Anolis sagrei: one gene and its partners. The protein of the gene in region 2 interacts with the protein of the main gene of each other region in a biochemical or structural test. Links are inferred from orthologs where the notes say so. Each region holds a gene or a part of one and is shown on either strand. Other genes may lie near its edges. The genes, in order: CACYBP, protein S100-A6-like and CEP43.

Region 1 (7,719 bases), on a different chromosome or scaffold from region 2:
ATATCTATCTCAACTTTGATAAGTTTTACTATAGGCCACAGCAACGCGTGGCAGGGCACAGCTAGTACTTATATAAATCTTACACACATCTAGAAAGAAGTGTGCACACACTGTACTGGGAAACAAACAGGCCATGTTGGGATGGTACAAAAGAATATAATTAAAAGCATGGAAATACACTGTAAAAATTGCTTAATAAAATGTGTTTAGATACAATTAAATTCCAAACAATTATATGAATTGAATGTACATTAAAGCTACACAGCCTTATTACCAGTAAGCAATAATTTGATATCCCTCCTGTTCCTGGAACTATGATGTCCAAGTAACACCTAGCATGTTTGGTCCATTTCGACAACTACAAGCTTATTACAGACCCAAGTAGCTTGACTGTCAAAGATCCTCACAAGAAGATACATTAGGGAATGTACATACAGATTAATGCAAAGGCTAGTTTCACCTGAGTCTGGAGCAGGAAGATTTCTTATATTGGATACCTCCAAGAGAAACTTGGCAATGGACAAAGTCACATGGGGAAAATTATCTTCCAGTGAAAACTTGATATAGGAAGGTTGCTCAATAGTGGGTTGATAATATGTTGTAAAACCTGCTTGTAAAACCTGCAGGTTTGACACTTCCTGGTTACTGTATGGGAAAGGTCTTGCACTATATGGATGCTCTTAAGTAGCAAAATCTATTGGGCTGGCCCTGTCTCCATCTGCAATACGTGGATGAATAATAACATCTCAAATATTTTTTATGTATGGATAACAAATAAACCATTTTGAAGTGCTATGCACAATTCTGAATATTAGCTTATATTTAACTAATCAATACTTGCATTTTAACTATCAAAAGGAAAGCAAAACATTCTAAGGGATGTCATTTAAATCCTCGGCTTTCTCATCACAACAGGAAAAATAATTGGACACCTGAAAGTGGAAAAAAGGGTTAAGGATATACAACTAATTTCATGTGGGTCCAGTGTTGAATGGTAGGTTAATATCACTTCCTGTTCCTGAACCTCTGTGCAGTTGTGACCGGGTTCAGAGCTCCAGAACTGTAATTTCCCTTTTAAAATTGTGACTTAAGATTTTTTTCATTTATTTTATAATAAAAACACAATTGCATCGTTACATTGATTATTCCCAACCTTTTGCTCCCCCATCCCACCATCACCATACACATAACAGTGTACAGTTCTCAGTTCTCTTGCTTTTAGTTATAGGCAGTCCCCAAGTTATGAACAAGATAGCTTTAAAAATGAGGGCGAAAGGCGCCCCTGAAGTTTTCCCAATTATAGTAATTTATGCGCAATTACTGTAACCAAATTTCGTTATAGTAACGAATTTTTCCACTAATTGTACTTTAGAAACACTTTAGAAATGAAATGCTAGCACCTCCCAGTTTTGTAATAACTTTTGAAACATTTTTAAATGGATCAGACATCCCTAGTGTTCACCTTTCCCTATAGAATCATACAGTTGAAAAAGATCTCATGGGCCATCCAGTCCAACCCCCTGCCAAGAAGCAGAAAAACTGCATTCAAAGCACCCCCGACAGTTGGCCATCCAGTTGCTGTTTAAAAGCTTCCAAAGAAGGAGCCTCTACAAAACTCCAGGGCAGAGAGTTCCACTGCTGAACGGCTCCCACAGTCAGGACGTTCCTCCTAATGTTCAGATGGAATCTCCTTTCTTGTAGTTTGAAGCCATTGTTCCGCATCCTAGTCTCCAGGGCAGCAGGAAATAATAATAATAATAATAATAATAATAATAATAATAATAATAATCTTTATTTATACCCCGCCACCATCTCCCCTGTGGGGACTCGGAGCGGCTTACATGGGGCCAAGCCCGAACAACATATTACAGCAATAAAATCAAAACATAAACAACAAATAACAACAACATCAAAATTACATTAAAAATGCAGTCATAAAATAACATTCTAATAAACACAATCACGATAACGATAACAATGGGCGGGCCGCATATATATATATATATATATATATATATATATATGTTCTGTACATAATGAGTACCTTAAAAACAAAAGGCCCAATGAACGAAATCACACCAAATTTGACAACAAAATGTCTCACTACACAAGGAGTGCCCATCAATCAAAAATTATGATTTTGTCATTTTGGAGTTGTAGTTGCTGGGATTTATAGTTCACCTATAATCAATGAGCATTCTGAACTCCACCAACAATGGAATTGAACCAAACCTGGTACACAGAACTCCCATGACCAACAGAAAATACCAAAAGGGTTTGGTGGGCATTGACCTTGAATTTTGGAATTGTAGTTCACCTCCATCCAGAGAACACTGTGGACTCCAACAATGATGGATCTGGACCAAACTTGACAGGAATACTCAATATGCCCAAATGTGAACACAGATGGAGTTTGGGGGAAATAGAACTTGACATTTGGGAGTTGTAGTTACTGGGATTTATTGTTCACCTACAATCAAGGGGCATTCTGAACCCCACCAACGACAGAATTGGGGCAAACTTACTGTGTTTTCTGGTGATCTTTGGTGACCTTCTGACACCCCCCTGGTGACCCCCGGGGTCTTGACTTCCCAGATTGAGAAATGCTACCTTAAGGCCATCCAGTCCAACTCCCTTCACCAGGGCAAGAAAACATAATCACAGCCCTCCCGACAAAGGGCCATCCAGCCATTCACACATACACATATATGTATATGACAGATTCAGTATCAAAGATTTGAAAGGGACCCCTAAAGAAGGAGAATGATATGTTGCATGTTCCAGAGTAGGCAAACCAAACAATCTCCACATCAACACTGGCAAAGAAACAGCAAGAAATCCTGTTTACTCACAAGCAGAAAGAAATTACATATATTAGAAACCAACACTTTCCCATTACTTTTTTCCCAGATCACCAGACTGGGCCACAGCAATGCGTGGCAGGGGACCGCTAGTACAGGATAAGAACAATTAAAGGACTGAAATAAAATAAAATAGGAGGAGGACAATTACGGGGGATTCATAAAATACGTAGAATTGTGAGGCTAAACATCCCATTTGGAGGTGCGAGCTCCAGTAGCAAAAACGTTGGGGGATGCAAAATGTCGTGGTGTGCACCTAATCACCAAAGGCGCAGCGGAAGAACCAAGTTTTACGGTTCTTTTTAAACATTTCTAGTGAAGGGGCTTGCTCCCTCCTCCCTATGATTTCCTCTCACATATTTATGCATGGCTATCATGTCTCCTCTCAACCTTCTCTTCTTCAGGCTAAACATGCCCAGCTCTTTAAGCCGCTCCTCATAGGGCTTGTTCTCCAGACCCTTGATCATTTTAGTTGCCCTCCTCTGGACACATTCCAGCTTGTCAATATCTCGCTTCAATTGTGGTGCCCAGAACTGGACAGAATATTCCAGGTGTGGTCTAACCAAGGCAGAATAGAGGGGTAGCATGACTATGCTATCCAAAGCTAATTTATATAAATAAAAATGTAATGTTCGTTTGTGCTATTCACAGAACTCAGAAACCACTCCGGCAATTGACACCAAATTTGGACACTATGTCCCTAACAACCCAATGTATGTTCTCCACTAAAAAAAAACAACGGAAATGAAAAGCAGAAAGGACATCTAAACTGCATGTCCACAAAGGGGAAACTGCATGTCTACAGAGACCCATGGCCACGCCCCCTCCTCTTCCTCATGGGGAAACAGCCTGCCGTTAAAGCCAGGCGCACATGCACAGCCACATGCACACACACACACAAGGGAGTGGAGGAGGTGGAGGCAGTCTCCTCCTTTCCCTGTTGGAAGAGGAAATGGCAGATGAGTGCCAGCAGCAGCAACGAAGCAAGGAAGAAGGGGAGGAGGAGGGGGGAGGCGAGGAAGGTCCACAGTGCTTGAATGAAGGACCTTCCTTCTCTCCCTCCCTTCCCTTCTTTCCTCCCTTCCTTTTTCTTCTTTCCCTCCTTCCCTTCCTTCCTGTTCCTCCTTCCTTTCCTCCCCCCCCTTTCCTTCTTCTTTCCCTTTCTTCATTTCCTTCCCTTCCTCCTTTCTTCATCCCCCTCCTTCCTTCCTTCTCCTCCCTCCCTGTCCCTCCTTGTTTTCCTTCCTTCCCTTCTTTCCCTCCCTCCCTCCCTCCCTTTTTCCTTCCTTCATGTCTCTCCTTCCTTCCTTCTTCCTTTCCTTCTTTCTATGTAAGATATAAATACAATATTAAATGGAAGGGACAATCAAGAAGTAACGAGAGAAGGAGGGAAAGAGGGAAGGAAGGAAGGCGAGAAGTAGGGAGGGAAAGAAGGAAAGAAAGAAAGATAGAGAAAGATGAGAGATAGGGAAAGACAAAGAGGAAAGGAAGGAGGGAAGGGAGGAGAGAAAGAGGGAGGGGAGGTTGGCCACAGCAATGCGTGGCGGGTACTATATATATATTAGGCTGGAATTATACATAAAATGTACCTGTTCCGACTTACAAACAAATTCAACTTAAGAACAAACTGTGTACATTCTGTATGACTTGCAATGGTAAAAGAAAGCTGAGAAGAGAGGCGTCTTTGGGAGGAAAGCGGCCTTGTGGGAGCTTCATGCTCTCTCCACTCCTTCCTCTTGTTCCTCACTTGGGGCCTGCCTATATCTGTATTTAGAGACAACTCTCTTGCAGGCCTACTCTGTGAAATGCTTGGGATACGGAAAACTCAAGGGAAATACCTCAGGAAACAGAAGGGAGAACTATCGACCCCTCCACTGAAACTTTCAGCTTCCCCGGCACAAACCCGGAAATCCGGCAGGCAACAAGCCTCTTGCCAGCCCAGCTTTGGTCGTTTCCGGCCAGAGCGCGCCTTCCCTATTGGCTGGGAGGTCAGGAGGACAGTGACGTCATTGGCAGTGACGGCGCGCGAGGCAAGCTCGAGAGCGGCGCGAGGAGGCTGGCTTTTGCTCCTTTATTCCGCAGCCGCCCTCGAGATGGAGGAGGTGAGCATGCGCCGAGGGGGAGGGAAGGGTCGCTGGGCCTCAGGAAGGGGGAGAGGGTGGGCCTCCAAAGGAGTCTCTGGAGGGCAGTGGGGCGGAGGAGGAAATACAGGGCTCACAGACCCCGAAGCAGGGGTTTCTGGTTGAGGTCTGGCCCCAGTTAGAAGGCACCCCAAAGGCCATCCAGTCCAAACCTCTGCCAGGCAGGAAAAGCACAATCAGAGCAGCCCCAACAGATGGCCATCCAGCCTCTATTTAAAGGCCTCCAGAGAAGGAGATCAATTGATAGAATTATAGAGTTGGAAGAGGCCACGTGGGCCATCTAGTGCAACCCCCTGCCAGGCAGGAAAAACACCATCAAAGCACCCCCGACAGATGGCCATCCAGCCTCTATTTAAAGGCCTCCAGAGAAGGACATTGATAGATAGAATCATAGAGTTGGAAGAGACCATGTGGACCAATCTGTCCAACACCCTGTCAGGCAGGAAAAGCACCATCAAAGCACCCCTGACAGATGGCCATCCAGCTTCTGTTTAAAGGCCTCCAGAGAAGGAGATCAATTGATAGAATTATAGAGTTGGAAGAGATCATGTGGGCTATCTAATCCAACCCCCTGTCAGGCAGGAAAAACACCATCAAAGCAACCCCGACAGATGGCCATCTAACCTCTGTTTAAAGGCTTCCAGAGAAGGAGAGCGATAGAGTTGGAAGAGGCCTTTAGAAAAGGGGATCGATAGATAGAATCTTAGAGTTGGAAGAGGCCACGTGGGCCATCTAGTGCAACCCCCTGCCAGGCAGGAAAAGCACCATCAAAGCACCCCTGACAGATGGCCATCCAGCCTCTGTTTGAAGGCCTCCAGAGAAGGAGATCGATTGATAGAATCTTAGAGTTGGAAGAGGCCATGTGGGCCATCTAGTCCAACGCCCTGCCAGGCAGGAAAAACACCATCAAAGCATCCTGCCAGCCAGGACAAACACCATCAGAGCACCCTGACAGATGGCCATCCAGCCCCTGTTTAAAGGCCTCCAGAGAGCGAGATCGATAGATAGAATCATAGAATTGGAAGAGGCCACATGGGCCATCTAGTCCAACTCCCTGCCAGGCAGGAAAAGAACAATCAAAGCAGCCCCGACAAATGGCCACCCAGCTTCTGTTTAAAAGCCTCCGAAGAATAAGCTTCCGCCACACTCTGAGGCAGAGAGTTCCACTGTTGAACAGCTCTCACAGTCAGGAAGTTCTTCCTAATGTTCAAGTGGAATTTCCTTTCCTGTCATTTGAATATATTGCCCCAAGTGGCACTACCTAAAAGAATCCCACACCTTATGTGGCTGTGGAGCAGAACAGACAACTCCGCACCTTTATGCTTGTCCACTATGCCCTGCCTCATGTACAGAGGAAGACTTGTTAGAGGCCATATTGTTGCCTGTTTTTGGTCAAAAGATATTTAGCCACCTGTGCTCCTTCTATTTTTATTGGTTATATACTAATTTATGCAATGCTTTTGATACGAAATAATAATAACTGGCCCAAGTGAGCAGTGGGGTGCCACAAGGGTCTGTCCTGGGCCCAGTGCTGTTCCACGTATTTACCAATGACTTGGATGACAAAATAGAAGGCATGCTTATCAGATTTGCAGAGGAAAGAAGGCTGAAAGGGGGCATGATAGCTATGTTTATATATTTGTACGGAAGTCAAGTTGAAGACGTGGCAAGCTTCTTTGCATTATCGTAATGCATTATCATTTGGATACATTTGTGTCTCAGCAAGCTTGTTCGGTTTGCTGATCTTTGCTAAGAAGTCATTGCTGATTAAGCAGTCACAAATCTCAGTCTGAACACATATGTCAAGGTCTTGCATTGTCAGCTTAACTACAGTAATGAAATTCTGCAGTGCCACTCCCAGAAAAACCTACCTTGCAGCCTGACCAAAAGATTTCTGTTGTGCTAGATATCTGGGTCCTGAGGAATAGCCTTTGCAGTGTCTGATCGTGTGTCACGTGTCAGAAGCAACTTGAGAATCTGCAAGTCGCGTCTGGTGTGAGAGTATTGGCCGTCTGCAAGGACGTTGCCCAGGGGACGCCCAGATGATTTGATGTTTTATCATCCTTGTGGGAGGCTTCTCTCATGTCCTCGCATGAGGAGCTGGAGCTGACAGAGGGAGCTCATCCACCTCTCCCCGGATTCAAACCTGCGACCTGTCGGTCTTCAGTCCTGCCGGCACATGGGGTTTAACCCATTGCGCCACCGGGGGCTCTGCAGTGTCCGATATTTATTTATCATGTCATCAGCAACCATACCATTGTATTACATTTCTAACAGAACAAAACAAACAGATTTTTTAAAAAAACAAAACACAGATTTTGCCAACTTGGTAGTTGGTTAAATGTCCTTCGACCAGTATCTGGCCACTTGGAGTGCCTCTGGTGTTGCCGCAAGAAGGTCCTCCATTGTGCATGTGGCAGGGCTCATGTTGCATTGCAGCAGGTGGTCAGTGGTTTGTTCTTCTCCGCACTCGCATGTCGTGGATTCCACTTTGTAGCCCCATTTCTTAAGATTGGCTCTGCATCTTGTGGTGCCAGAGTGCAGTCTGTTGAGTGCCTTCCAAGTCGCCCAGTCTTCTGTGTGCCCAGGGGGGAGTCTCTCATCTGGTATCACCCACGGATTGAGGTGCTGGGTTTGGGCCTGCCACTTTTGGACTCTCGCTTGCTGAGGTGTTCCAGCGAGTGTCTCTGTAGATCTAAGAAAACTATGTCTTGATT
Region 2 (7,764 bases):
GCCTGAGCCTGGGAAAATCTCTTGCTGGGAGGTGTTAATCTGTGCCTGGTTTTTTCCTCTCTGTTGTTTAGCTGTTATAATTTTAGAGTTTTTTAATACTGGTAGCCAGATTTTGTTCATTTTCATGGTCTCTTCCTTTCTGTTGAAATTGTCCACGTGCTTCTTGTGTATTTCAGTGGCTTCTCTGTGTAGCCTGACATGGTGGTTGTTGGTGTGGTCCAGCATTTCTGTGTTCTCAGATAATATGCTGTGTCCAGGTTGGTTCATCAGGTGCTCTGCTATGGCTGAAGTAGTCTGCCGTGCCTTTCATGTTCCTTGATGCGTGTCTGGGCAATGCTGCGTTTGGTGGTCCCTATGTAGACTTGTCCACAGCTGCATGGTACACGGGAGACTCCTGCAGAGGTGAGAGGATCCCTCTTGTACCGTGTACCATGCAGCTGTGGACAAGTCTACATAGGGACCACCAAATGCAGCATTGCCCAGACACGCATCAAGCTGTGGACAAGTCTACATTTCCCTGGGGAGTGAGTTCCACAGGTGGGGAGCCACCACTGAGAAAGCCCTGCTCCTCGTCCCCACCAGCCTCACTTGTGAGAGTGGTGGGGTCGAGAGCAGGGCCCCCCCCCAGATGATCTCAAGGTCCGGGGTGGGACGTAGAGGGAGATACGTTCGGACAGATACGCTGGACCGGAACCGTACAGGGTTCCGGTCCAGCGTATCTGTCCGAACGTATTTGAGAACACAGAAATGCTGGACCACTCTCACAACCACCATGTCAGACTACACAGAGAAGCCATTGAAATCCACAAGAAGCAAGTGGACAATCTCAACAGAAAGGAAGAGAACATGAAAATGAACAAAATCTGGCTACCAGTATTAAAAAACTCTAAAATTACAACAGCTAAACAACAGAGAGGAAAAAACCAGGCACAGATTAACACCTCCCAGGAACAGATTTTCCCAGGCTCAGGCAGGCCTTCAAATGCTAATGAAGGTGATCAGTTGAAACATTCACACCTAGCTCTACCAGACAAGAGTCCTTTGTCCCACCCTGGTCATTCCACAGATATATAAACCCATTTTCCTACTTCCAACAGACCTCACACCTCTGAGGATGCTTGCCATAGATGCAGGCGAAACGTCAGGAGAGAATGCCTCTAGAACATGGCTCTATAGCTCGAAAAAACCCACAAGAACCTGATGTGGTTTGAGCCCAGCATGAACTGCGGTGGGATTTGCAGTCCTCCCAAGGTCTCCTCCTCTCTTTGGCAGGACCCTCCATGGAGAGCCCCTTGGAGAAGGCCTTGGCCAGCCTGGTCCTCACTTTCCACCGGTATTCGGGCCAGGAAGGCAACCCCTTGACCCTCAGCAGGAAGGAGCTGAAGGAACTGGTCCAGAAGGAGCTGCAACTGGGAGAGGTCGGACCCTGCACCGCCCAACACCCCCTACAGGGGGACAACACAACAACAACAACAACAACAAACAACAACAACAACGATGACATAATTTAAAATAATAATAATACAATAGAATATATATATATATATATATATAGATAGATAGATAGATAGATAGATAGATAGATAATATTACAACAATAAGTCATAATATAACAATATAATATATATTATATAATAATATAATTATTATAACAATAATTTAAACATTGTAATAACAATGTAATATATATATATATAATACACTAATAAATCATAATATAAAACATATTATATGACAATAAATAATATATTGAATTAAATATAAGAATTATATATAAGAATTAAAAATCACAATAATGCCATAGAATATAATATATATATATATTATACAATAATATTGTAATGTTTATTATATAATAAAATATAATAATAATAATATATATTATATAATAAAATAATATAATAATTAATATTATATAATAAAATAATATAATAATCAATATAATGGTATTATAAAATAATATAATATAATAATTAATCATAACATAATAATATATATTATATAATATAATAGTCATATTAATAAGAATTTAAAAATCATGCTAACTATATATAATATATATATATAATACACTAATAAATCATAATATAAAACATATTATATGAGAATAAATAATATATTGAATTAAATATAAGAATTATATATAAGAATTAAAAATCATAATAATGCCATAGAATATAATATATATATATATATTATACAATAATATTGTAATGTTTATTATATAATAAAATATAATAATACATATTATATAATAAAATAATATAATCATTAATATAATAGTATTATAAAATAATATAATATAATAATTAATCATAATGTAATAATATATATTATATAATAGTTATATTAATAAGAATTTAAAAATCGTACTAACAATATATATAATACACTAATAAATCATGATATAATAATATATTATAAGAATTAAAAATTGTAATAATAATGCCATAGATTACAATAATATTGTAATGTTTATTATATAATAAAATCTAATAATAATAATATATATTATATAATAAAATAATATAATAATTAATATAATAGTATTATAAAATAATATAATATAATAATTAATCATAATAATATAATATAATAGTTATATTAATAAGAATTTAAAAATCATACTAACAATATATATATATATATATATATATAAAAATACACTAATAAATCATAATATAAAACATATTATATGAGAATAAATAATATATTGAATTAAATATAAGAATTATATATAAGAATTAAAAATCATAATAATGCCATAGAATATAATATATATATATATATTATACAATAATATTGTAATGTTTATTATATAATAAAATATAATAATACATATTATATAATAAAATAATATAATCATTAATATAATAGTATTATAAAATAATATAATATAATAATTAATCATAATGTAATAATATATATTATATAATAGTTATATTAATAAGAATTTAAAAATCGTACTAACAATATATATATATATATATATACTAATAAATCATAATATAAAACATATTATATGATAATATAATAATATATTATAAGAATTAAAAATTGTAATAATAATGCCATAGATTACAATAATATTGCAATGTGTATTATATAATAAAATATAACAATAATATATATTATATAATAAAATAATATAATAAATAATCATAATATAACAATATAATATATAATAATATAATATAATAATGATAATAATTATTATTATTATTTTCTGCAGCGCATGAAGGAGAGCGGCATCGACGTCCTGATGCGCAGCTTGGACCAGAACAAGGACCAGGAGGTCGACTTCAAGGAGTTCACGGCCTTCCTCTCGGCCCTTTGCATGGCTTACAACGACTTCTTCAAGCAGGGCGGCCAATAAAGAGCGGGGGAATCAATACGTAGTACATATATGCCTTCTCTGTATGGGGATTCCTTCCCTATTAGCCTCAAATAAAAGACCTGCGCCTTGCAAAAGACTGTGTTTGTTACGAAACACCATTTGCAGCATGCGAAGAAAAGCTGAGCACGAAGGAGGGAGGGAAAGAGTGTAACCGGGACACTTTAAAGAAGGACCGGAAAGTGGGAAGGGATCATGTATTATATATTTCCTTCAAAACACCCTTTGCAGCAAGGGAAGGAAGCTGAGCATGAAGGAGGGAGGGAAGGAGGGTAACCGGGACGCTTTATAAAAAGTCCAGAAAGTGGGAAGGGATCAAATATAATATATTTCCTTCAAATTACCCTTTAAAGTGTCCCGGTTACCCTCCTTCCCTCCCTCCTTCGTGCTCAGCTTTACAGTCCTTATTTCCTTCAAAACACCATTTGCAGCAAGTGAAGAAAAGCTGAGCACAAAGGAGGGAGGGAAGGACGGTAACTGGGACACTTTAAAGAAGGACCAGAAAGTGGGAAGGGATCGTGTATAATATATTTCCCTCAAAACACCCTTTGCAGCAAGTGAAGAAAGCTGAGCACGAAGGAGGGAGGGAAGGAGGGTAACCTGACACTTTAAAGAAGGACCGGAAAGTGGGAAGGGATCGTGTATAATCTATTTCCGTCAAAACACTCTTTGCAGCAGGCGAAGAAAGCTGAGCACGAAGGAGGGAGGGAAAGAGAGGTAACTGGGACACTTTAAAGAAGGACTGGAAAGTGGGAAGGGATCATATATAATATATTTCCTTCAAAACACCCTTTAAAGTGTCCCGGTCACCCTCCTTCCCTCCCTCCTTTGTGCTCAGCTTTCCAGTCTTCCTTATTTCCTTCAAAACACCCTTTGCAGCAAGCGAAGAAAGCTGAGCACGAAGGAGGGAGGGAAGGAGAGGTTGCCGGGACGCTTTATAGAAAGACCAGAAAGTGGGAATATATATATATATAATTTCCTAATGGGTTCTGTCTTGAAAACATGGGGAAAGTTTCATTTCCTTCAAAACACTATTTGCAGCAAGGGAAGGAAGCTGAGCACGAAGGAGGGAGGGAAGGAGAGGTAGCCGGGACGCTTTATAGAAAGACCAGAAAGTGGGAATATATATATATATAATTTCCTAATGGGTTCTGTCTTGAAAACATGGGGAAAGTTTCCTAAACTGCAGGAAAGCAGCCAATCCGGTTTCCTTCCCACCCTGGGGAAAACTTTTGCAATCTGGGGGAAAGTGAACAGGAGCAAAGAAAGGTGTGGCTGTGGGGGTATGCAAATGAGCAGGGCGTGGCACCCAATCAGGGCTCGTCCTGGGGGCGTGGCATGTGGGGAGGCCCCTCCCCTGTGTATAAAGAGAGGGTGGGTTGCATCCCTGGTCTCACTTGCCTGCCTCCCTTCCTTCCTTCCAGCCAACTTCTCTCTTCCTGCTTTCCACTGGTAAGTTTCCCTTCTTTTCCCCATAGAGAGAGAAAGCGTCAGTGGGGTGGGGGGTGCCTGGGTTCCCTGGCAGGGCCACTCCACCCTCCTTTTCCTCTTCCACTTCCACTGGAGAAGGTTTCCTGCCCTGAGGCATCCTCACCCAGGAGCCTGCACACCAACCAAGCTCCCTTTTCCAAGCTCTCTGCTGACATCTGGTGGCCAACCCGGGAATGGCGCCCCTGAGCATGAATAATTCTTTGGAGCCTGGATGGAGTGAACTACAACTCCCACCATCCTGGGCCTCAGGGATCTCTGGGTGTGGGCTGAGCTCTCCCTCCCACCCATGCTAACCCCCCCCCCCAATCCCCATCATCCTGGGTCACAGGCTCTCTGGAGATGGGGTGAGCTATAACTCCCACCATTCTAACTACAACTCCCATCGTTTTGGGTCACGCAGGCTCCCTGGGTGCAGGGTGACTATTACTCCCATACTCCCAACTACAGCTTCCATACTCCCAACTACAACTTCCATAATCCCAACTACAACTCCCACCATTCTAACTACAACTCCCATCATCCTGGGTCACAGGCACTCTGGGTGAACTATCACTCCTACCATTCTAACTACAGCTCCCATCGTTTTGGGTCACACAGGCTCCCTGGGTGCAGGGTGACTATTACTCCCATAATGCCAACTACAGCTTCCATAATCCTAACTACAACTCCCACCATTCTAACTACAACTCCCATCATTATGGGTTACTTGGGCTCCCTGGGTGCAGGGTGAGTATTATTCCCATCATTCTAACTACAACTCCCAGCATTTTGGGTGACACTGGCTTCCTGGGTGCAGGGTGACTATTACTCCCATAATCCTCACTACAGCTTCCGTACTCCCAACTACAACTTCCATAATCCTAACTACAACTCCCACCATTCTAACTGCAACTCCCATCATTATGGGTCACGCAGGCTCCCTGGGTGCAGGGTGACTATTACTCCCATAATCCTAACTACAACTCCCATCATTTTAGGTCACGCAGGCTCCCTGGGTGCAGGGTGACTATTACTCCCATAATCCTAACTACAACTCCCATCATTTTGGGTCACGCGGGCTCCCTGGGTGCAGGGTGACTATTACTCCCATAATCCTCACTACAACTCCCATCGTTTTGGGTCACGCGGGCTCGCTGGGTGCGGGGTGCCTATTACTCCCATAATCCTAACTACAACTCCCATCATTTGGATCACGCGGGCTCCCTGGGTGTGGGGTGACTTACTCCCATAATCCTAACTACAGCATTCATAATCCTAACTACAACTTCCATAATCCTAACTACAACTCCCACTCTAACGACAACTCCCACCATTTGAACTACAACTCCCAGCATTTTGGGTCACACGGGCTCCCTGGGTGCAGGGTGACTATTGCTCCCATAATCTACAACTCCCATCATTCTAACTACAACTCCCACACTTTTGGATCACAGGGATCTCTGGCTGTGGGGTGTACTACAACTCCCATCATCCTGGGTCATGAGGCTCTGGTTGCAGGGGAACTATAACTCCTATCATTTCAACTACAACCGTCATCATTTTGAGTCACAGGGCTTTCTGGGCGTGGGCTGTACTACAATGCCCTTCATCCTGGGCCACGGGGGTTCTGGATGTGGGTGAACTATAACTCCCATCATTCTAACTACATCTCCCATCATTTTGGGTCACAGGGGTTCTTTGGGTGTGGAGTGACTATTACTCCCATAATCCTAACTTCAATTCCCACTATTCTAACTACAACTCCCATTGTTTTGGGTCACACAGGCTCTCAGGGCATGGGTAAACTACAGCTCCCATTATCCTGGGTCATGGGGGATCTGGGTGTGGGGTGGACTACTACTCCCATCATCCTGAGTCATGGGAGCTCTAGGTGTGGCGTGAATTATAATTCCCATCATTCTAACTACAACTCCCATCATTTTGAGTCACAGGTCTTTCTGGTATGGGATGAACTACTACTCCCATCATCCTGAGTCATGGGGGTTCTGGGTGTGGCGTGAACTATAATTCCCATTATTCTAACTACAACTCCCATCATTTTGAGTCACAGGTCTTTCTGGTATGGGGTGAACTACAGCTCCCATCATCCTGGGTCATGGGGGCTCTGGGTGTGGCGTGAACTACTACTCCCATCGTCCTGGGTCATGGGGGCTCTGGGTGTGGCGTGAACTATAATTCCCATCATTCTGAGTCTCAGGGCTCTCTGGGCATGGGTCGAACTACAACTCTCAGCATCGATCCATACATACCGTTTTCACATTAATTTTATAGACACCAGATAAGAGAGGCAGAAGGAGAAAGATCCATGATGATGGGAGTTGTAGTCCGGAGGGGAGAGGCGTTCTTTTCCCCCCTTGGTTTGGCCATTAAGAGGGGAAAGCCGGGATGTCGCAACCACGTCTTCCAAGGCCGCTTCCCTTGCCCTCTCGCGGGCATCGAGCAGCCGCACCCTGGAATTAACCAGCATTTGAGTCATTTCTCCCGAGGCGGGTCCCATGGTCGCCGTCCTTGGCAATCCCGGGATTTGGAGTTTGGAGGAGCCATTTTACATATATACACATATACTAAAAGTGAAAAAAAATATGCTTAATAGTTTTAGCAGTGTGTGTGTGTGTGTGTATGTATATATATACACACACACACACATACATATAACATATATATATATATATATGCATATATATTTATATATATGAACAGAATGGTTTTAGTACTATATATATGTATGTTTTCTATATTTAATAGTATGTTGTCCTTTACATACGCACGCAGACATATGTACACACATGAAAATGTAATATATAATACACACAAAGACACACACACACACACATATATATTGCAAAAACTACTCAGCTTATATATATATATATATATAT
Region 3 (7,322 bases), on a different chromosome or scaffold from region 2:
GAGCTGTTCAGCAGTGGAACTCTCTGCCCCGGAGTGTGGTGGAGGCTCCTTTTTTGGAGGCTTTTAAACACAGATGGGATGGCCATCTGTCAGGGGTGCTTTGAATGCAATTTTCCTGCTTCTTGGCAGGGGGTTGGACTGGATGGCCCATGAGGTCTCTTCTAACTCTATGATTCTATGAGGCAAGTATGAATGTTGCAATTGGCCACTTGCATGTAATGGTCGAGCCGGTTTAAAGGTCTGGCTTCATACTGCCTGGGGGAATCCTTTGTTGGGAGATGATTAGCTGGCCCTGATGGTTCCTTGTTTGGAATGCCCCTGCTTTTGAGTGTACTTTATTTATTGTTACAATTTTAGTGTTTTTCCATAGAACCTGGAAAACTCAGAACAACCCAGTGATTCTGGCCATGAAAGCCTTCGACACTACATTGCATTAATTCTATAGTGTAGACGTACCTATGGTCTGCTCACACTCCCAGATTTTGGATTAAAAAGGGCTACCATAGGCCCCATCTATGTTGCCCACAGTATAGATCAGGCATGGGCAAACTTCGGTCCTCCAGATGTTTTGGATTTCAACTCCCACCATTCCTAACAGCCTCAGGCCCCTTCCTTTTCCCCCTCAGCCGCTTAAGCAGCTGAAGAGGAAAAGGAAAGGGTCTGAGGCTGTTAGGAAATGTGGGAGCTGAAATCCAAAACATCTGGAGGACTGAAGTTTGCCCATGCCTGGTGTAGGCTCATATAATGCACTTGAATGCAGTTATAAAAGTCTACACTGATCATATAATGAAGTCTCAGAGTGCATATATAACAGTGTAGATGGGGCCTTGGAGCACAGAAGTCTGCTTTTGTCAGCCCAGTTACATGTCCTGAGCATGAATTGAACTCATAATAACATGAAGTCGGAGTCACTGTGTCTGGTTCTGAGTTGCGATATAATGTAGTTTGAACTATATGGTTAGCGTAGAACCTTATAATGTAGTTTGAACTACAGTAGAGTCTTGCTTATCCAACATAAACAGGCCATCAGAATGTTGGATAAGTAAAAATGTTGGATAATGAGTAGGGATTAAGGAAAAGCCTATTAAATTACGTTATGATTTTACAAGTTAAGCACCAAAACATCATGTTTTACAACAAATCGACAGAAAAATCAGTTTAATACCCAGCAATGTTATGTAGTAATTACTGTATTTACTAATTTAGTACCAAAACATCACAATGTATTGAAGCAGCTGTGGATCCGGGCAGGAGGCTGACTGCATTGGATAATACAGAACATTGGATGAGTGAAGGTTGGATAAGCGAGACTGTATATTTAACTGTCTTACATGTTTCTACACGGACTGGATAATGCAGTTCAAACTACATCATTTGGCAGTGTGGAACCAGCCTTTGAAAACAAACCTAGAATCAATTTATCTTCAGACAAAAAAACCCCCATAGGTTGGATCTACACTTCCATATAATGCAGTTTGGAACTGCATTATATAGTCAGTGTAGACCCATATATTGCAGTTCAATGCGGTTGACACACATTATATGAGTCTACGCTGCCATATAATGTAGTGTAGATCCACCATTACCTATCCATGGAGATTAGGGCTTGCATACAAATGAAGCAATAGGCGAAGAAGCTTTAATTCAAGGCACTTCTCTCCAGTTAACAATTACACAATCATGTTTTTTTGGTCTGCAGGTTTGATAACTAGCTCTTTTAGAAAATGGATTTTAGTGCCACCTACAGTGACATTTTGGAAACACAGACAAACTTTTAAGCCTGTTTTCTTTATGAGGAAATCTGGTACAGTTTTATACATTCCTAGCTGTATAAATCCCTAGCTGTATGATGTTCCTATAGTATTCAGATTCAAAGACCATGCATGACCATCTGCACATAAGGTTAGTCTGTTAGTGGAATGGACTTGGGAGATGTAAACTTGTGTAGTTTCAGGTCTATTTCTAGGACCACAAAGGCCAAGGTGAACAGAGCAGTTTTTGCAGCTTTATTCAACAGTGAAATCTAAAGCCAAGTACAAAAGTGGAGAAAATAAATGGCCGTCAGCTGAGTTGCTGGCAAACCTATGTTCAAAGTTTTGCTTACACTAGCTGAATCTCATCAACTGACATTTTAATTCCTGGGATTTTGTTTTTAACTCTCAGCACCCTTAGGATTTTGTTGTGACCTGCGGTTTTGGAGTCTCGTCTTTCTTTGCTTAGACGATCTTCTTTGGCTTTAAGCAACATCTAGTGCAATAGTACTATCCATATTTACATTACAGAATTAATGCAGTTTGACATCGCTTTAACAGTCATGGCTCGTGTTGTTCTTTATTCGTTCAGACGCTTCCGACTCTTTGTGACCTCATGGACCAGCCCACGCGAGAGCTCCCTGTCAGCTGTCACCACCTTCAGCTCCTTCAGAGTCAAACCAGTCACTTCAAGGATACCATCCATCTTGCCCTTGGTCGGCCCCTCTTTCTTTTTCCTTCCATTTTCCCCAGAATCATTGTCTTCTCTAAGCTTTCCCGTCTTCTCATTATGTGGCCAAAGTACTTCATCTTGGCCTCTAATATCCTTCCCTCCAGTGAGCAGTCGGGCTTTATTTCCTGGAATATGGACTGGTTGGATCTTCTTGCAGTCCAAGACATTCTCAGAATTTTCCTCCAACACCACAGTTCAAAAGCGTCTATCTTCCTCCGCTCAGCCTTCCCTATGGTCCAGCTCTCACATCCATAGATTACTACAGAGAATACCATTGCTTTGACTGTGTGGATCTTCGTTGCCAGTGTGATGTCTCCACTCTTCACTGTTTTATCGAGATTGGTCATTGCTCTCCTCCCAAGAAGTAAGTGTCTCCTGATTTACTGGCTGCAGTAATCTTTGCATGACTCAATGCTATGAAATTCCAGGAGTTGTAGTTTTACAAGGTTTTTGTGTTCTCTGACAGTGCTAGCGCATCAGCGAACTACAACTCCCAGACTCCCATAGCATTGGATCTGTGAAGTTAGTGTTAAACTCCATTAAGCTAACAGTGTAGATGCATGGTCACAGATAAGCATTCTGTAAGTAGGCTGAGCCTTCAACTGAAGACATTTTGTGATTTGTAGTTTGTTGTGCCCCCTTGATGGATTGTCACCTTGTCGTGAGGGGACTTGCATGTTCCAGTGAACCCGCGGGCACAACTACCGGAGTCATGCACTCCCAGGAGGGGCCGCAGGGGAGGTTCCAGACCAAGCACAGTCCGAAGACCCGAAGACCTCAACCGCGGATCAGGCGGAGGATAACATGGTACATGTTACAACAGCTGTGATAGCAGAAGAAGGTTGCAACAGATTGAGAAGCCATCATCGTCATGTTAACCACGCCACTGGATGGGACCTCTCTCTGTGAAGACTGTGTTGATCGGCTGTGCACTGACCTTCACACATTTTTAAAAAAAACTCACGCACAGGCATCTTCCAAGAAAAATAAAAACAAACCAAAGAGGCATGAATGGAGAGCGAAAGGGAGAAACGTGCCAAGAGGAAGGCACGTCGAGCCAAACCTGACCGAGACCACCTTCCATTGGAAACCAATGTCCTCATTGCAGGAGAACATGTGGATCAAGAATAGGGCTCCACAGTCACCTACAGACCCACTGCCAAGACACTTCACTTGGAGGACCACTATCCTTGAGTTACGTTAAAGTTAAGTTTGTTGTGGTACCAGAGGTCCGTGACAAAAACGATTAAATATGTCTTAAAAACTAAAAAAAACCCAAAATTTATATTGAACTACGGCAATCAAAGTGATGTCAAACTGCTCTAATACTCCAGTGTAAGGACAGCTGCAACTACACTGTAGAATTAATACAGTTTGATACCACTTTAACTGCCATGACTCGCTGCTATGGAATCATGGGAGCTGAAATTTGGAGAGGCACCAGCAGTCTTTGTAAGAGAAAGCTTCCGACCGTGTAAAACTACGGCTCCCGAGATTCCACAGCGCCCTGACAGTTAAAGTGGGGTGAAGCTACAGTGCAGATACTCTTGACATCCCCAGCTGAAGCAAGGTTCCTTCACTTCCTGAAAGTACCTCCCTTCTCCAAAGCCCCGCCCCCTTGTCCTCGCCCAGCCAATCACAGCTCCTGGTGACGCGCTGCCCTTTCTTTCATTCGCACATTCGCGGCGCCTCGGAGCGCGGGTCTTGTCGCCTCCTTCTCCCCCCCTCTTTCTGGAGTGACGAATCTGCGGGGCGGGCTCGACCGCTAGTTCAGTTTAGGCGGTTGTCAGGGAGAAGCAAGATGGCGGCGGCGACAGAGGAAGATACCGAGCTGAGGGACCTCCTTGTGCAGACCCTGGAGACGAGCGGCGTGCTGAATAAAATCAAGGTGTGGATGTGTGCCTGAGGTTCACCGAAGCCTTGGGCGGACCTCTGAGTGGCGTGGCGCGTCGCGAATTGGGAACGATGGAGGGGAGCTGGGGCTGAAGACCCACGACGGCCCTCCGCCAACTGCCATTCCCGCCATTCCTCGAGGCTGTGCGTTCTCTGGGGAAGAGCGCCACGCGCAGCCTTGGCCTCAGGGCGCATGCGTGGGACTTTTATTGGGGTTAAGGGGATCAGAGAGTTCATGGCCGTATTACCCATGTTAGGACAGAAGAAATGCGTGGAGGTACAGAATCATAGAGCTAGAAGGGACTCCCTAGGCCGGCCAGCATTGCCTGTCTCATAGTGAACCAGTAAATGTCCACTGTCATAGCCAGGGCAAGCAGACAATATTGCTTTCTCTTGTTGTTTGGCCCTTGTGACATGCTTTTTAGGGGAGAACTCTCTTTGACCTTAAACCTTTGGTCTTCCAGATGTCTGGGACTTCAACTCCCAGAAGCCACAGCCAACTTTGCCAACAGTCAGTAATTATGGTATCTATAGGACCAAAATCTGGGACCATTGCTCTCCTGGATGTGAAAGATCAGGCAGAGAGGATCTGGGATCCTTATCAGCATCATGATCAAACGTTGATAGCTGACTAATTGCACAAAGGAGTTATTTCTTGTTCAGTATCTTGTTCAGAGATGGCTAAGTACATCTACGCTGCAGAGTTGATACCATTTTAGCTGCCATGGGTGATAGTATGATAGCATGGGTGGAGGATGAGCAGGAAGAAGTCAGGTGAGGGAATATTGTAGTTGAGAGAGACTTGAGGTCTGACACATGGTGGCAAAGTAGGAAAGGGATGTACAAACAGAACTGTTAACAAGAAAGGAGTGTAGAATATTTTTTGAGGGGGGGAGGTAATCCTACAAACAAGGAGCGCTGACTTTAGATTACTGTGCACTGTAAACCCTCCTTTGCAGAGAGAAAATACGAGACTATGACAGCATGAGAAAACTGGGTTGCTGTAAGTTTTTCGGGCTGTATGGCCATGTTCCAGAAGCATTCTCTCCTGATGTTTCACCTGCATCTGTGGCAGGCAAACTCAGAGGTTGTGAGGTCTATTGGAAACTAAGAAAACGGGGTTTATATATCTGTGGAATGTCCAAGGTGGGACATCCCACCTTGGACCTCCCATCCTGGATATTCCATAGATATATAAACCCAATTTTCCTAGTTTCCAACAGACCTCACAACCTCTGAGGAAGCCTGCCATTAATGCAGGTGAAACGTCAGGAGAAAATGCTTCTGGAAAATGGCCATACAGCCCGAAAAACTTACAGCAATCCAGTGATTCCAGCCATGGAGGCCTTTGACAATACATGAGAGAACTGTTGTCCATTTCTGTATTTTCTATTCCTCTCTATTTTCCATTGAATGCTCTACTATGCAGTACAACAATTCCATTCTGCTTATATTGACTCTTTTCCTTTATTCCTTCAGTTTCAGCTTAATTTTTATTTAATTTTGTTTTATTGTTTTTAGTCTTTCTGTAAATAACTAAAACAGAGTATTAGTTCCACATATAGCAATTGCACTGAATTTAAAAGGGGTTGTGTATGCTGTTCTTCTTCCTTTATTTCTTTGTAACTTTACTACAGTTCCAAACACGACAATTTGAAACAAATACAAAATATATGGAAAATTGGCACTTTTCATGTGCTGTGCTCTATATTGTTATTAAATACACTAAACTTGAACTTTCAATTCTTGCCACTAGTTTACTTGAACAAATGTTGAGGAAGAGATAAACAGTGTATGACTTTCTATTTGATTTTGTGGGCTTCATTAGCTATGGAAGTTAATAACTCATGGGAATTGCAGTCCTACTTGTAGGGATCCACACATTCCTGTCACACCAGTGTACAAGGATGTGGCAATTTAGTTTCTTTAATGGGACATTATTGCATCTCAAGTAGTAGTTCTGTTTGCTTCACATTTTTAGAACGGTTACTATGCTTTATGTAATGGACTTTTGTGCTTACTCAAGTGTTTCTTGAAAAATACATCTTACAGATTGTTCTGCTACTGCTAGCACAGTGGGATTTCTGTTAAATACTTGAACATCATCTAAAACAGAAGGAAAAATAACATAAATGTTACCAAAGTTTACGTCCTATGAAATCAGAGACCTATCAAATATTTAGAGATTTAACAGAAAGAAGAACACAGAAAATTGCTTTTAGAACCATCATCTGGGTGCTGTTTGGCTTGTTACCTGATTTTAATGTATGTAGACATACATATTTTGCATATTTTTGACTTTCTTTTGCAGGCAGAGTTGCGGGCAGCTGTGTTTTTGGCTCTTGAAGAGCAAGAAAAAGTAGAGGTAAAGTTCGACTTTAATTTGGTTTCTCTGATTTTAGTATAATATGCACATGTTTTGCATGTTAAACTAACAGCTTTTGAACTCTATTTGATAGAGGGGATATTGGTAGGGGGATTTTAGCAGCCATTTTGTCTTCCATTTTTGTCAGTGTGTGCAAGGGCTGACTGTTAGGATTATGGTTGCAAACTGAAATTAGTGTCATTTATTGTTTGAAAGTCTGCAGCTGATGGAAGCAAAATATTCCAGTAAAGGGGGTGTTTCTTTAGACTTCAGTGTCATCTTTTTCACTTATTTCATTTGATAAAATTAGAGATGAATAATGTTTGGATTTACACCACTATACATTTTTTTAAAAAACAAGGATTCTTACTTTGCTTTTAGCAGTGTATCTTCGGGTGTATACGTTAGTACCAATTAAAACATTTAGTGTTTTAATATGTTATCCTGTTGCAGTGCTGTTAAGATCACCCAAATTAGATTGATATTGGTATTTCTTATCCGTTGCCCTCATGCTTTGACAGTGTGTGATGGAAGAATGATTTGACATAAACATATGGATTAAGTAGAAATTATTAGTAGC

What was found.
Region 1: the proteins of protein S100-A6-like (region 2) and CACYBP are reported together in a solved structure, tested with the Homo sapiens proteins (2 studies listed by BioGRID and IntAct, with this or other methods). The link is inferred for Anolis sagrei from reciprocal best matches to the Homo sapiens genes S100A6 and CACYBP.
Region 3: the proteins of protein S100-A6-like (region 2) and CEP43 form a complex in vitro, tested with the Homo sapiens proteins (2 studies listed by BioGRID and IntAct, with this or other methods). The link is inferred for Anolis sagrei from reciprocal best matches to the Homo sapiens genes S100A6 and CEP43.

The regions. Positions count from the first base shown.
Region 1 is NC_090024.1:129,682,269-129,689,987, reverse strand, and holds the start of CACYBP (calcyclin-binding protein), read left to right. Parts: upstream 1-4,651; 5' UTR 4,652-4,666; coding exon 4,667-4,963; intron 4,964-7,719. UniProt on the Homo sapiens protein: May be involved in calcium-dependent ubiquitination and subsequent proteasomal degradation of target proteins. Probably serves as a molecular bridge in ubiquitin E3 complexes. Participates in the ubiquitin-mediated degradation of beta-catenin (CTNNB1).
Region 2 is NC_090032.1:1,006,658-1,014,421, reverse strand, and holds the start of protein S100-A6-like, read left to right. Parts: upstream 1-4,741; 5' UTR 4,742-4,846; intron 4,847-7,764. Other genes in the region: protein S100-A5-like, read left to right, coding at 1,281-1,418, 3,233-3,376. UniProt on the Homo sapiens protein: May function as calcium sensor and modulator, contributing to cellular calcium signaling.
Region 3 is NC_090021.1:64,214,642-64,221,963, reverse strand, and holds the start of CEP43 (centrosomal protein 43), read left to right. Parts: upstream 1-4,234; 5' UTR 4,235-4,285; coding exon 4,286-4,372; intron 4,373-6,688; coding exon 6,689-6,742; intron 6,743-7,322. UniProt on the Homo sapiens protein: Required for anchoring microtubules to the centrosomes. Required for ciliation.